Linked DNA regions of Arabidopsis thaliana. The protein of the gene in region 2 purifies or fractionates together with the protein of the main gene of each other region. This does not show direct contact. Each region holds a gene or a part of one and is shown on either strand. Other genes may lie near its edges.

Region 1 (8,068 bases), on a different chromosome or scaffold from region 2:
TGAAGAAGAAATAGAAGATCTTCATAAGAGTTTGTGCTGATGATAATAAACTGAAAGTTAGAAACTCTAGCAGCTTTTTAAGGTAAAGCGTTACTAAAAACAAATCTTATTTTATTTTTTAGTAAAAGCTAAAAAAAAATCTTTATAATTTTTGCATAAGATTTCTATTTTTATTACGATGTAAATTTTGGAAGAAAAAACAGTCCACAACAATTTTATTTTTACTTTTATATCTCAGCATGACTACCGATTAGAATATATAAATGGTGAAACAGAAGCGGTTTTAATCCGCAATCTTATTAATCAGTGTTCCATGTACAAACCATTCAAAGCTAAAATTGTTCAATTGTTTGTTTTATGTCAAGCTTACAATTTTTCAATAACTCCTCATTTTCACATGTTTGCATGTGAAAATATTGATCCAACGATCCAAGAGACTTACAATTTGCTATTATTAGTATCAATTGGGATTAATTGAGAAATTCTATAGTCTTGAAACATGAATAAAGAAAAAATAAATGTGTTGACATGTTAATGAGGGATTAAAGAAATAAAAAAAAATTATTAGTAAGTTTAAGCGAGGTGAGAATGTAATGAACACCATTTTGTATTAGTAATTATACAATTCCATAGGCTAATCAACATGTAATAAAAAGTTTTAAGACCATGCAGTCGTTGAGGCTGTGGCTGTAATAATATTCATCCTTGCAATTGCGACTTAAAAACCAGCCATGTTTTTTGGCCCAAGAACCCTCACTAATCAAAACACATTCGCACAACAGCACAAGTTATATGAGTTCGCCAATTGGTACGTCTCGGTAACACTTGTAAGACCATCTCCATCGGAATATCTGATTGAGATACTCATCAATTAAATAATAATTAAAAAGAGAAAAAGTATGAGAGAAGAAGAGAAAAGTGGAGAAACTGGCAAGAGAGACTATTCTCAGCATTTATTGAGAGTTGTCATTCAATTAATAGTTCATTTACTTCAAACTAATTAAAATATATTAATTTGATTAAAATATTAATTTATTTACTTTTTGAGATACTCTCTACCACTTTTGCCGATGGAGATGCTCTAACAATCTCATCTCGTCTCTTATCTGCTTGATAGGCTTCGGTTAAACCTTTGTAATCAGGCCCAAAGTATTAACTCCTGTAAATAATTTGATAAGCCCATATTTTGTAATCAGAACCAAACCCTAAACCGGAAGTCCAAAAACCCTGTGGAGCAGCAAGTCAACACGCCCCACATTGGCTAATCCATGACATCGATCATATTATATTTATTCATATTGTCAAGTGATGATTCTTCGTTCATGTCTTTTAACATCACACAATTTTCTGCCTGAAATTACCGACTGCTAAAAGTATTTAATCATCTCTATTTTTATCTCCATTCTCCACGTTATAGGTGAGTCTATTTTATAGGCATTTTATTCTAATATATTCTTTTAAAATAGTTTTTTTTAAAAAATAAAAGAAATATATGGAAAAAAAATCAACTCAATTTTCTTTAAAATAAAAATAAAAATATATATCAAAAATGATCTAAATATCAAGCATCGACTCGTGTGATCGATTCTTTATTCTTTAAATCGTAAAATGACTTAATAAAAATTCGACTCTAAAAATATACAATAGATATGATTTATCAGTTGTCAAAAACTAAAAATAAAAAGTAGTTAAAATTTAAAAGTAGTTATAAAAAATAACCATACAAAACAGGCAACAATTGATTATTATTTTTTATTTTTTTGTTTTTCACTTTTGTGATTAGTAACCATTAAAACAACGCACATCTAATCATTGCGGTATATGTCTATTTTTATCAATAATATTTTTTTTATCATATAGTAATTATGATTTATGAATGTATAAATAAAATAATTCTGATTTTATTCAGAGTATATAAATAAACAAAAAATCTTCATTTCTCGGGTCGGGTCTAAATCGCGAGTTTTCGCGTAGGTTTGAGCAAAAAAAAAAAGAGAGAGAGTGCACAGTGCGCTTTTGGTAGAGAGAAAGGGTTGTTATTATTTAGGATTGATGTCTTCTTCTTCCTCTTCGTGATTCTCTCACACAATTTTCACCCATTTTCATGTCTCTTCCTACCAAACGCTCTACTTTCTCCGCCGCTTCTGCCTCCGACGACTCTTCTTACTCTTCTCCTCCGATGAAAAAGGCCAAAAACGACCTCCACCATTCCCCTCAACACCCTAATACCGCCGACAAGGTTGTTGGCTTTCATATGGAGGAAGATCCAACTCCCGCCGCCGCTAATCTCTCTCGGAAGAAAGCTACACTTCCGCAACCTACTAAGAAGTTTGTAATCAAGCTCAATAAAGGTTTCGCTCGATTTCGATTTCTTTCATCTTTACGATTTTGATCGTAATCTTAGGATTTGATTTGGGTCTTTTACTCTACTGTGCAATTGATGCTCTGGATTGATTTGAAATGATACAATTGTTAAGGTTCGTGATTTTTAGGGTTTTCATTGGCTTGCGATTGATGGAAGTTTTGTGTGAGTTTTGATGTTAAATTACAGTGGAAAATTGAGTGTGACTGTTGAATTTTGATGTGAATGAGTGATTTGGGTTTTTGTATTTCTTCTAAGTTGGAATCTCTTTGTCTAGCCTGATCTAGGTACTTAAGATCCGGAATCTTTGTTGTGCACAATCTAGTTGGCTTAGCTCTCACCAAACCTAATTTGTGCCATTAGAAAACATCTTGAGAATCATCTTTACTGTGACTGGCTAGCAAATTGAAGATAAAAGTGTTTTCATAATTAGGGTTCTGATTGTACCATTTGTATTATATATGTGAAGCCAAACCAACTCTACCAACAAACTTTGAGGAGAATACATGGGAGAAGTTGCAGTCAGCTATCAGAGCTATATTCCTCAAAAAAAAAATTTCGTTTGACCTCGAGAGCCTTTACCAGGTTAGGTTACGTGCAAATTTACTTACTTCCTTTCTTATTCGTATGTGTAAATGTCGTGCTGATGAGATTGTGATTGTTTTTTCAGGCTGTTGATAACCTTTGCTTGCATAAGTTGGATGGAAAGCTTTATGACCAGATTGAGAAGGAGTGTGAAGAACACATCTCTGCAGCTTTGCAATCTTTAGTTGGGCAGAACACTGATCTGACTGTTTTCTTGTCACGTGTTGAGAAATGCTGGCAAGACTTTTGTGACCAGATGCTCATGATTCGTAGTATAGCCTTGACTCTGGATAGGAAGTATGTGATACAGAATCCAAATGTACGTTCATTATGGGAGATGGGTTTGCAGCTTTTCCGGAAGCATCTTTCTCTGGCCCCTGAAGTTGAGCAGAGGACGGTTAAAGGTCTCTTAAGTATGATTGAAAAAGAAAGGTAAATTTTTAACCTTCTGGTCTTCCAAAATTAAACGAGGGTTGATTTATCACATTGAGAATATAATTTCATAAAGCCACTTTACCTCAACTTATTTTTCTGGCTTTTGAGTGAATATGGTAAGTTTGGATGGTCTATGAACTATTCCTGTCTAGCAGTGATAACTTGTTATAGGTAAAATTTCAAGGCAAATCAGGACTAGTGTATGTCATTTATATATTGGATAATGTTTTCATCTGAATCTGCTGAACTTTCTTGCATGATATTGGTCCTGCAGGTTAGCAGAAGCTGTTAATAGGACTCTACTAAGCCATCTTTTGAAGATGTTTACTGCACTGGGAATTTATATGGAAAGCTTTGAGAAACCTTTCCTTGAAGGGACCTCTGAATTTTATGCCGCTGAAGGAATGAAATACATGCAGCAGTCTGACGTTCCGGAGTACCTGAAGCATGTTGAGGTGCCTTGCATGACTTCATATAGTTTCCTTATGATTAGCTGCACTACAGGTTAATAGTCTTTCTAAGGTTTCTACTGGTGATTGGTGCAGGGAAGGTTGCATGAAGAGAATGAGAGATGCATACTCTACATAGATGCAGTAACCAGGAAACCATTGATCACAACTGTTGAAAGGCAACTTCTCGAACGTCATATACTTGTTGTTCTTGAAAAGGTTCCAATCTCCTATTATTCTTGTGTTGGCTTGCATATTATCCAATTTTAGTTTGTCGTAGTCTTACTTTATTTCTGAACATCTTCAGGGTTTTACAACATTAATGGATGGACGTCGTACGGAGGACCTTCAGAGGATGCAAACCTTGTTTTCTAGGGTCAATGCACTTGAGTCTCTGAGGCAGGCGCTAAGTTCATATGTTCGGAAAACTGGGCAGAAGATTGTTATGGATGAAGAGAAAGACAAAGATATGGTACAATCACTGTTGGACTTCAAGGCTTCTCTTGACATAATATGGGAAGAGAGCTTTTACAAGAACGAATCATTTGGTAACACAATCAAAGATTCGTTTGAGCATCTGATTAATCTTCGACAGGTATCAAATAGTGATTTTCTTGATTATTGCCTGAGTCTCTTGCTAATAATTTTACTTTCATGTAAAAGCAACATACTGATTATTGTGGAAATGTCAACCTTAAATTACAATTGTGAAATCGAGAAATTTATATTTTATAATAATCTATAGATTTCGTTACTGATTAAGCACTGTATTGCTATGATTTGGAGACATCTTTGGGCAGTGAATACTATTTTCAAACATAATTTTGAGATCAAGCTTCTTGTGGGCACTGGACCTGATCACAGTAGTGTTGTTTGCTAATATATATCACTTTGGATACCAAATACTCTGATTTAGCAAGCATCCCAAATAATATACATCTTATGCTGATAATCTTTTTTACAGAACCGGCCAGCTGAGCTTATTGCCAAGTTTTTGGACGAGAAACTCCGTGCTGGGAATAAGGGTACTTCTGAAGAAGAATTGGAGAGTGTTCTTGAAAAAGTCTTGGTTTTGTTCAGATTTATCCAGGTTATCTCTAATTTCTTACATTTAGTACTGTGTTTGTCACTGTAAATCACTGCTTCGAGGCCAGTGCATGGTCTGTAAACCAGCTATTTGATCTTCTGGATATCGGTTTTGCTGATGGATTTTTATTATTTATCAAAGGGTAAAGATGTGTTCGAAGCATTTTACAAAAAGGATCTTGCGAAGAGACTCCTGTTGGGAAAGAGTGCTTCAATCGATGCTGAGAAATCCATGATCTCTAAGGTTAAAAACTGATTTATATTCTGGGTGTTTCCCTTTCCCACAATTTGTTTTCTATATCTGTAGTTCTCACCCACTGATCCCAACCTTGGTTTTACCTACAGCTTAAGACTGAGTGTGGTAGCCAGTTTACAAACAAGCTCGAAGGGATGTTCAAGGTATCCTTTCTTCTCCTTCTCTATATTCAAAAAAGATGTTGGTCGTTTAAGTTTTACTAAGGAACAAACTTAATGATCTTATATTTTGTTACGTTTTACGATATACCCCGGTATACATATTCATTGTTAATCCAATCTAAGACAGGATTGGCGGATGATCCTGCTCCATACTTATTTTAATGAACTTGTGTACATTTACAATAATCCTAATGAGCTTGAACTCTCCGTTTTATTGAAATTTTCTCCAGGATATTGAATTGTCAAAGGAAATCAACGAGTCATTCAAACAATCTTCCCAGGCCAGAACAAAACTGCCATCGGGAATTGAGATGAGTGTCCACGTTTTAACAACAGGGTATGTACAATGTATCAATTTTATCCAGGATATAACTGCTGGAATGCGGATATCATGACATATATAAAGCTTGTTAACTTCCCGTCTATAATACAGGTACTGGCCAACATATCCGCCTATGGATGTTAAGCTTCCTCATGAACTAAATGTCTATCAGGTTTTACTAAAAGTTCTTCTTATGTATTTTTTTTTGTTTCCTCGTTGGACGTTTTCTTACAAGCTTTTTCTAAGCTATCTGTATGTTTCGTAGGATATCTTCAAAGAGTTCTATTTAAGCAAGTACAGTGGTAGGAGGTTAATGTGGCAAAATTCATTAGGCCACTGTGTTTTAAAGGCAGATTTCTCCAAAGGTAAAAAGGAGCTGGCTGTTTCCCTGTTTCAGGTCAGTCAAATTTTTTTTCCCCCCCCCCCCCTTTTAAGCTCTTTCCTGTCTTCCCGAGGTTACAGTGTTAATCAATTGCTCTTTTCTTTTTGTCTCAGGCTGTTGTGTTAATGTTATTTAACGATGCAATGAAACTTAGCTTTGAAGACATTAAAGATTCCACCAGCATAGAGGACAAGGAGCTGAGGAGGACTTTGCAGTCGCTTGCTTGTGGGAAAGTCCGTGTCCTGCAGAAGGTTTGGCCAAAATCTGGACTCTGTTAACTCTCTTTTCAGCTAATGCAGAAACTGCCGAGATTATGGCTTTGCCTTTTTCCATAAGGATAAGCCTTATTGTGTAAATATTTTTGCAGAATCCTAAGGGAAGAGATGTAGAAGACGGTGATGAATTTGAATTTAATGATGAGTTTGCAGCTCCGCTGTATCGCATTAAGGTACGTTGGTTTTTTTCTTGGTCTCTTCACTTAAAGTATCCTAGAATCTTGTGATACTGTTTTGTATGTAGCTTATAGTGAAGCAATTCTTTCTTTTGTTCCTGGGTGCAGGTAAATGCGATCCAGATGAAAGAGACAGTAGAGGAGAACACAAGTACAACGGAAAGAGTATTCCAGGACCGACAATACCAGGTTGGTTTCTGCTCTCCATTTTCCTTTACGATACTAATTTCTGAAATCGTTCTTACAACTTTGGCTTCTTAAACAAGAAAAGATTTTGACAAAATGGTTTTCCCCATCACACCCTTCTCTTACAGATCGATGCAGCCATTGTTCGTATTATGAAGACAAGAAAAGTCTTGAGCCATACTCTTCTAATCACTGAGCTCTTCCAACAGGTAAATTTCACTCCTGCTTGATGATTTTAAAATCCGAAATAACATGTCGGTTTATGAAAAAAGAAAGCATGAAATTCGTTACTAGGTCCAGTCCTATTGGTAATATACTCGTGATGATGATTAGAGTTCTCAGTAGTCTACTAAATTTAATATACCATTGCTATGAATGGATATATGTTTGTGATTTGCAGCTCAAATTCCCGATAAAGCCTGCTGATCTGAAGAAGAGGATTGAGAGCTTGATCGATCGAGAATATTTGGAGAGGGAAAAAAGCAACCCTCAGATATACAATTATCTTGCTTAGAATCTCTTTGGTAAACACACCTTTTGAATATTTTCCTTTTTGTATATTTATTGACAAACAAACGATGACCGAAATTTTCTTATCAGTTTGAAAAAAAAAAAGAACTCTCGATATTCCAATCATCTCTATTCTCGCTGTTCCGCCCGTTCTTATGTACAGCCTTAAGTTCTATTTCTTACTTTGATTCACTTTTCCTCGGTTCTCACTTTTTTTTTTTTTTTGAACATACTTTCTTGGGACTTCTTTGTTTTCAGATTTTTATACAACTTAAAAGATGTTTTTGTTTCCCTACAAAAATAACTGATTTGTTTTAAAAAAATTCAAACTTCCAATAAAGTTCCTAAGATAGGTTATATATCTTCGAGGGTTTTCTATGTGCTGATTCCATTTTGTTTTCGTTTTTGAGTTTTATTTGAATGGAGATAGTTCTTAGAGCTTTTTCTTCGTTTTTAGGCAATTAAATCTTAAGTTTAATCGGATTTTTTTTTACACTACATTATAGGCATTTCTGTTTTTACCACTACCAAATAACTAAAGAAAGAACAGAGAGAATCAAATTGCTTACTTGATGAACGTCCCTAACGACATTTAACTATGGCTGATCAATATTGTACGCAACTGAAAGACAATTGAATAAAATTCATACTACGGTTTGTGAAATAGTTAAATGTATCTACACGTACATTTAAGAAAAATGGAAATATATTGACTCATCGTCCAACTGCTTCAATCTAGTGACTCCACAGCTTTTTAGTTCGGGTTTCATACTGTAGTAGGAAAGTAAACGAACTATGTAAAGAAAATTGGATTTCAGAAAAAAATAATTATTTGATGAAAAAAAAATTGAATGAAAATGTTGTTTACGAATATTTTTGCTAG
Region 2 (5,609 bases):
GAAAACAGAGGCACTCCACTGAGACCAACCTACATTGAGGTATACTTGTTTGGATTACTTGATGAGGATGCGAAAAGTATAGCACCGGGAGAGTTTGAACGCCACTGGGGAATATTCAAATTCGACGGGCAACCAAAGTTTCCTATAGATCTATCAGGTCAAGGACAGAACAAGTTGTTGATTGGTGCCGAGAACGTGACGTATCAACCTAAGAAGTGGTGTATGTTTAATACAGAAGCCAAAGATTTGACAAAACTCGCTGCTAACATAGATTACGCCTGCACTTTTTCGGATTGCACTGCGCTTGGTTACGGGTCTTCTTGCAATACTCTTGATGCAAATGGGAACGCTTCATATGCGTTTAACATGTATTTTCAAGTAAAGAACCAGGATGAGGATGCTTGTATCTTCCAAGGTTTGGCCACCATTACCACAAAGAATATATCTCAGGGACAATGCAATTTCCCTATTCAGATTGTTGCTTCCACAGCTTCTTCATTTTCTTCTTCTTTGGTTTTGTTGATCGCTGGAGTTTGGTTTCTCTTATCAGGAGTGATGTTTGAGGTTTAGATTAGTGATGTTTTTGAGGACTTATTTTTGTGGATATGGAAACTATATGTTTTGTCCATGTATTAAATTGCATAATATGGTAAAATTTTACTTGGAAGAGTGAGAATCATTTAGTTATGGATCCAAATATTTGATCAATGGTGGTCATAAGAAAACAGGACTCGCAAAAAATTGAAACTCTAACGGCAGTTAATGTACGTGATCAGACTAAACCGGTCCAATGTCATTTTAATGGTTCAAATTTGATAGCAACTACGGAACCACAAACCAATTACACTTAACCAAACAACTAATTGGTCTTTAGTCAGGAGCAAGATCCTAAGAAAAACAAAGAAAAGGTTTCTTAACCTCTGCAATAATCTGACTGACACATTTCGGTACCTCTTTAGGGTATCGAGCCAAATCAAGAAACTGTAAGGAGTTTTACAATGAACTGCTACGAAATGTGCAGAGATGGCTTCCAAATTGAGAGATGACATCAACAATACCTCCATAACCTCCCACAGCAACTACCTGCAAATACAAAAGAATTGGATCAACGGTTAAACATTGAGTTTCTAGTCCAGAAGGGGTAACATATTTGCAGAATATTAGCAGTAACATAGGAAATGGGAGAAAAGCAAACACATATATAGGAAATGGGGAGAAAAGAAGGGATTGGAAACATACTCCTGCTGGATGCAAGGAAATGGAAAATACTGAACAAGGAGCACAGTGAATTTGAGAAAGCAAAGCTCCATTTAAGTCGAAACGTCTTAGAAGTGGTTCTGCTCCTACAGTCAAAATCTGATAGTGCGATACTTGTTAAAGACAACATTTTTAAAAAGATGTTTAAACTTTAGCACAGGAATTAAAACTAGGTGTTGACCTCTGTTTCTAGTTTAGAAAAGTCAGTAATTTTTTTAATAAACTTCGTTGAAGAGGGATGATTCAAAGAGATACTACATAAACCTATTAAGCCTTGATAAACAAATAACACCCACGGCCTCCCAAGGCTTTAAATTACACTGCTTAAATTTCAATCTAATCTTGTTCTGCTTACTTGCTTTTCATCAAACATCACATCCTGTACATGTGCAGGGATGGGTATTGTTTGTACGCATTCTGAGGCGGGAAGATTCCATAAAGCTAAATTTTTGCCCTGTCCACAAACCTGAAAGAGGAGAAAATCATACCAATAACAGTAAATACATGTTCAGTATTTAAACTTCTAAGTGATTCTTCAGGAGAAAGGAACTATATTCTTAGGTTACTGGAGGCAACAATCCCTTCAAACAAATAGCAGGTTGCGAAAATGTTAGATTATCTAGTTGCTTAGTTCTTACCAACCAGCTTTCACTCCCATCAAGGGCCATAGAACTAACGCGAAGGCGGGACTTTTTATCCTGGGAACCAATTACTTTAACACATTTTCCCGTTTTGCAATCTGGTTGACAAAACAGAAAGAAGCCCTTGAGCGAACAAAGCTTAGTCTAGACAACTAAAGTAAACCACATGAACCAAAACATAACATAGTGGAAAGTTCTGTAATCACCAAAATGAATCATCATAGAGTTGTAAGAAGCAGCCAACAAAACTGAGGAGCATTGGATCTTAAGTACCAACATGAAGACTCAAATGATTTCAAAAGTTCTATAACCACGTATGACCTAATACTAGAAATTACAGCATAAAGAAATATGGTCGGGAGCATGTTACCCCAGATTCTCGCAGTCCCATCCTCTGAACCCGTCAATATCTGGAGAAAGAGACTACAATCAGACAAAAATCCAAATGTGGAACTCAGATTTGGATAGGTGCATTTCTAATATTTATGGTAACATCATTACCTGACTTGCAGAACTACGAGAAACTACAGTATGCAAATAGTCTGAATGACCTTTAAAGGTCATTTTAATCTTACCACTCTCCTGAAATTGTTGGATACACATAAATGATTTTAGAAAGTTAAGATATCTGGATTCACATAGGACATACATCTATCATGGTCAAATACATACCACGTCCCAACAATATGCGCAAGAATCACCAGCTGCTGTAAATACACTTCCTGACTATCAAAACGAAAGAAGTGAGAGAGGGTGAAACAGTTATCCTGTGAGACTGTCTAACCAAGCAATGAAATTTAAATACAATTCCAACCTGAGGATCAACAGACATGGCATTGATCTCAGGCATCGGTGAAAGCGCACCCCAAGGACCTCTATAAGAAAAAGAATGGTGATTATACACACAACTATTACGAACACTGACATTTGAACCCACAATTATAGCATTTTCAGTAACAGAGTTATCAAGTAGAATAAAAAATGAACAAAACTCATACTCACTTGTGTTGTGGATTAATCAGTTCAAGCAATGGCTTCAGATGATTCTCTGTAGATCATAAGAAAAACAACCACTAAGCTCCAAAAAGCATCATTCATATCAAAAACCACAAAAATGGCACACACACACCTTTCAAATGAAGAGACACATCTGATTCAGCAAATTCTCTCCATTTCCATCCCCTAACTCTACCATCATCACCACAACTACACATAACCAGATCAAAATTTCAAACTCTCAATTACAATTCATCAAAGACTCATCAATCAACAAAGAGAGATTTAAGTCTCTACCTAAGTAGCAAAGCATCTTCGTCTTCACCATAGAACTTAACATCATAAGCAGGACCTTCGTGTGCCCTAACCACTCTCTCAGGTTCAGCCACCATAACATCTTGACCTTTCGAGTAGCCAAAACTCGCCGATTGAGACACAAGCGAGTTCAGTGAATGGAAAGCTAAAGTTCCATCGCTGGAGGCTACAACAAATGCGTCTGGATTAGAGATTCTCGCCGGAGGAGCCCAGGCGGTTCTGAAGACGGTGCGTGTCTCTATCTCTCGCTCCTTCAAAATTGATTCTCTATACTCATCTTCATTCCAGTTTGTAGCGTCTCCGTACATGGTCCTCTGCTTCTTTGCAATTCCCGGTGATACTTGCGAAACGCCAGCGATATTACCACCAGTGGTTTAGTGCAATTGACGACTGAGAGAAAGCAATCCCTAAACCGGCCGATTTAGTAATTCTGTTAATTATATTTTACTAGCTTGTTTTTTTTTTGTCGATCAAATTACTAGCTTGCTTAAATAGACGAATTGAAGAAATAAATTTAATTTTGTATCGATAATATTTGAATTCTAAATAGTAATATATACATATTTTGTAATATTTAATTTAGTAATTTTATTTAAAAACAAAATTTTAATTTTATACATTTCATTTTAATAGAAAAATAGGTAAAAAAACTCTCACATTTTTTAAAAACATGAAAAAAAATCTTACCTTTTTAAAAATAGTAAATTAACACCTAGGATATCTTATTCAAACTAACATATCCTATGTTATTCAATTATGAATTTTTAAAAGTATCATGAAATCTAATGCTATTGAATTACTGATTTTAAAATCTCCTTAAAAATCTTCTGTTATTGAAAACATTTTAAAGATTGGATTTTAGTGACTTTAAGAGACTTAAGTGGATTTTCTTAGTTAAAAATATATAATTTTAAATCTCATGGTTTTAGGTGGAATTTGAGAGGATTTTACCATAAATCATAACAACCTCCTTAAATTCATCCAAATTCTTTAAAAAATCAAAATTATATAAAAACTCAAATAACTTAAAATATAAGATCGAATACACCTCCTTAGATTCTAGTGTTATTCAATTTTTGATGATTTTAATGCAAGTGTTATTCATTTTTCTGTCAAAACCAACATTTCATTCAAATCACCAAACCGAAAGTATCAAAGGATAAACCTCCAATGTAATTGAAAAACTCAATTAATTTTGAATGCAGTATGAGTAGAGAATTTCACTTCCTCCGCGGAGATCTGTCTATTCGTTTTAGAGATTCCATAGAATTCAAGATTCAGATGCTCTATTTCGTGTTTAATGTTAATAGCACAATATGATGAAGACAAATCAATTCAAAATTTTTTGTTCCACTTCTTTTGGTCTTCCGTCTCTTCAAATTTTGACCCATATATCTCCTCATCTATATCTACCAAGAAAAAATCATAAAGAAGACTCTGTGCGTTTTTGTTACAATTAAAATCTCCACCTTTCTTTTTGGCACTTCCAGCTTTCATAAATCTCACATCTAGGGCTACATAAATCTCATTCGCAAATACTGATTCGGAAAAAAAATTGAATTCATCCAAAACAAATGAAGCCGTCCTAGACCATCTGTAAGCATCAACTTCTTAGTACTATTCACTAGAGCATATTTGTCCTCACCCAAACATAAGTTTGCCAACTTCTCGGAGATAAAAACTGACATGCATCGTTTGCAACTCATCTCGAAAAGAATCTGGTAGATTAATCAACATGAGAGATTTTTTCGGTAGTGGTATTATGTAACCGCCATCATCAAAACCCAAGCTGGTAAGTACGTCTTCATCAGAAAATTCAGGGTCCATTAATTGTTCCTTTGTTGGTTTAGGTTTCTTATTCTTTGCTGGTGCGATCTTTGGACGATAAACATTTATTCTAATACGTTTTTTACCTCGACTTTTCTTCGTCATACCAGTATTCCAAACTGTGAAGTACATAATGGCTGTTAAAAGCTAGAAAAATTGCAGTATAGGTAATGACTAATGGACCATGTAGTTTATGGTCGGCTGATTGATGAATACACATGTAAATTTTGGTATGATTGAATAAACGTTGACGTTTCTAGAAACGTATTTAGGGGGACCGCTTATGTAGTGCTTGCGTGAGACACAAACACATATGAACAAGGGAATGTGGAAGGAGAATCAAATCAAATCAAATGCCAAAACAATATTAAAAACGTATTTCGAAGATGTTCATAATTCGTTGTCCTTGCATCTTTTGTCTTTATTTAATTAACTCCAAAACCTTTAGTAATATTCGCTTTTACTTCCATTTTAATATCAATTCCTCTAGCTTACGTTTCGGTTTTACATTCGCCCTTACAAAGATTACTTTTTATTCCTTTGGTTTTTGATTGGAGGATCAATGAATGTTCT

The links.
Region 1: the proteins of DWA1 (region 2) and CUL4 purify together in Arabidopsis thaliana (affinity purification with western blotting, with the first as the bait; one study listed by BioGRID). This does not show direct contact.

What each region holds. Positions count from the first base shown.
Region 1 is NC_003076.8:18,730,690-18,738,757, reverse strand, and holds CUL4 (cullin4), read left to right. Parts: upstream 1-1,942; 5' UTR 1,943-2,104; coding exon 2,105-2,351; intron 2,352-2,831; coding exon 2,832-2,947; intron 2,948-3,032; coding exon 3,033-3,379; intron 3,380-3,656; coding exon 3,657-3,837; intron 3,838-3,927; coding exon 3,928-4,050; intron 4,051-4,138; coding exon 4,139-4,426; intron 4,427-4,795; coding exon 4,796-4,921; intron 4,922-5,059; coding exon 5,060-5,161; intron 5,162-5,262; coding exon 5,263-5,316; intron 5,317-5,564; coding exon 5,565-5,671; intron 5,672-5,767; coding exon 5,768-5,828; intron 5,829-5,921; coding exon 5,922-6,053; intron 6,054-6,151; coding exon 6,152-6,289; intron 6,290-6,405; coding exon 6,406-6,486; intron 6,487-6,597; coding exon 6,598-6,678; intron 6,679-6,803; coding exon 6,804-6,884; intron 6,885-7,075; coding exon 7,076-7,189; 3' UTR 7,190-7,387; downstream 7,388-8,068. UniProt on the Arabidopsis thaliana protein: Component of the CUL4-RBX1-CDD (COP10-DDB1a-DET1) E3 ubiquitin-protein ligase complex which mediates the ubiquitination and subsequent proteasomal degradation of target proteins. Participates in the CDD complex to light-mediated control of development.
Region 2 is NC_003071.7:8,413,125-8,418,733, reverse strand, and holds DWA1 (DWD (DDB1-binding WD40 protein) hypersensitive to ABA 1), read right to left. Parts: upstream 3,689-5,609; 5' UTR 3,518-3,688; coding exon 3,192-3,517; intron 3,105-3,191; coding exon 3,028-3,104; intron 2,947-3,027; coding exon 2,901-2,946; intron 2,774-2,900; coding exon 2,713-2,773; intron 2,625-2,712; coding exon 2,571-2,624; intron 2,481-2,570; coding exon 2,400-2,480; intron 2,309-2,399; coding exon 2,269-2,308; intron 1,997-2,268; coding exon 1,896-1,996; intron 1,724-1,895; coding exon 1,613-1,723; intron 1,357-1,612; coding exon 1,240-1,356; intron 1,084-1,239; coding exon 994-1,083; 3' UTR 740-993; downstream 1-739. Other genes in the region: AT2G19440 (O-Glycosyl hydrolases family 17 protein), read left to right, coding at 1-570; AT2G19420 (uncharacterized protein), read right to left, coding at 4,851-5,155. UniProt on the Arabidopsis thaliana protein: Acts as a component of the THO subcomplex of the TREX complex which is thought to couple mRNA transcription, processing and nuclear export.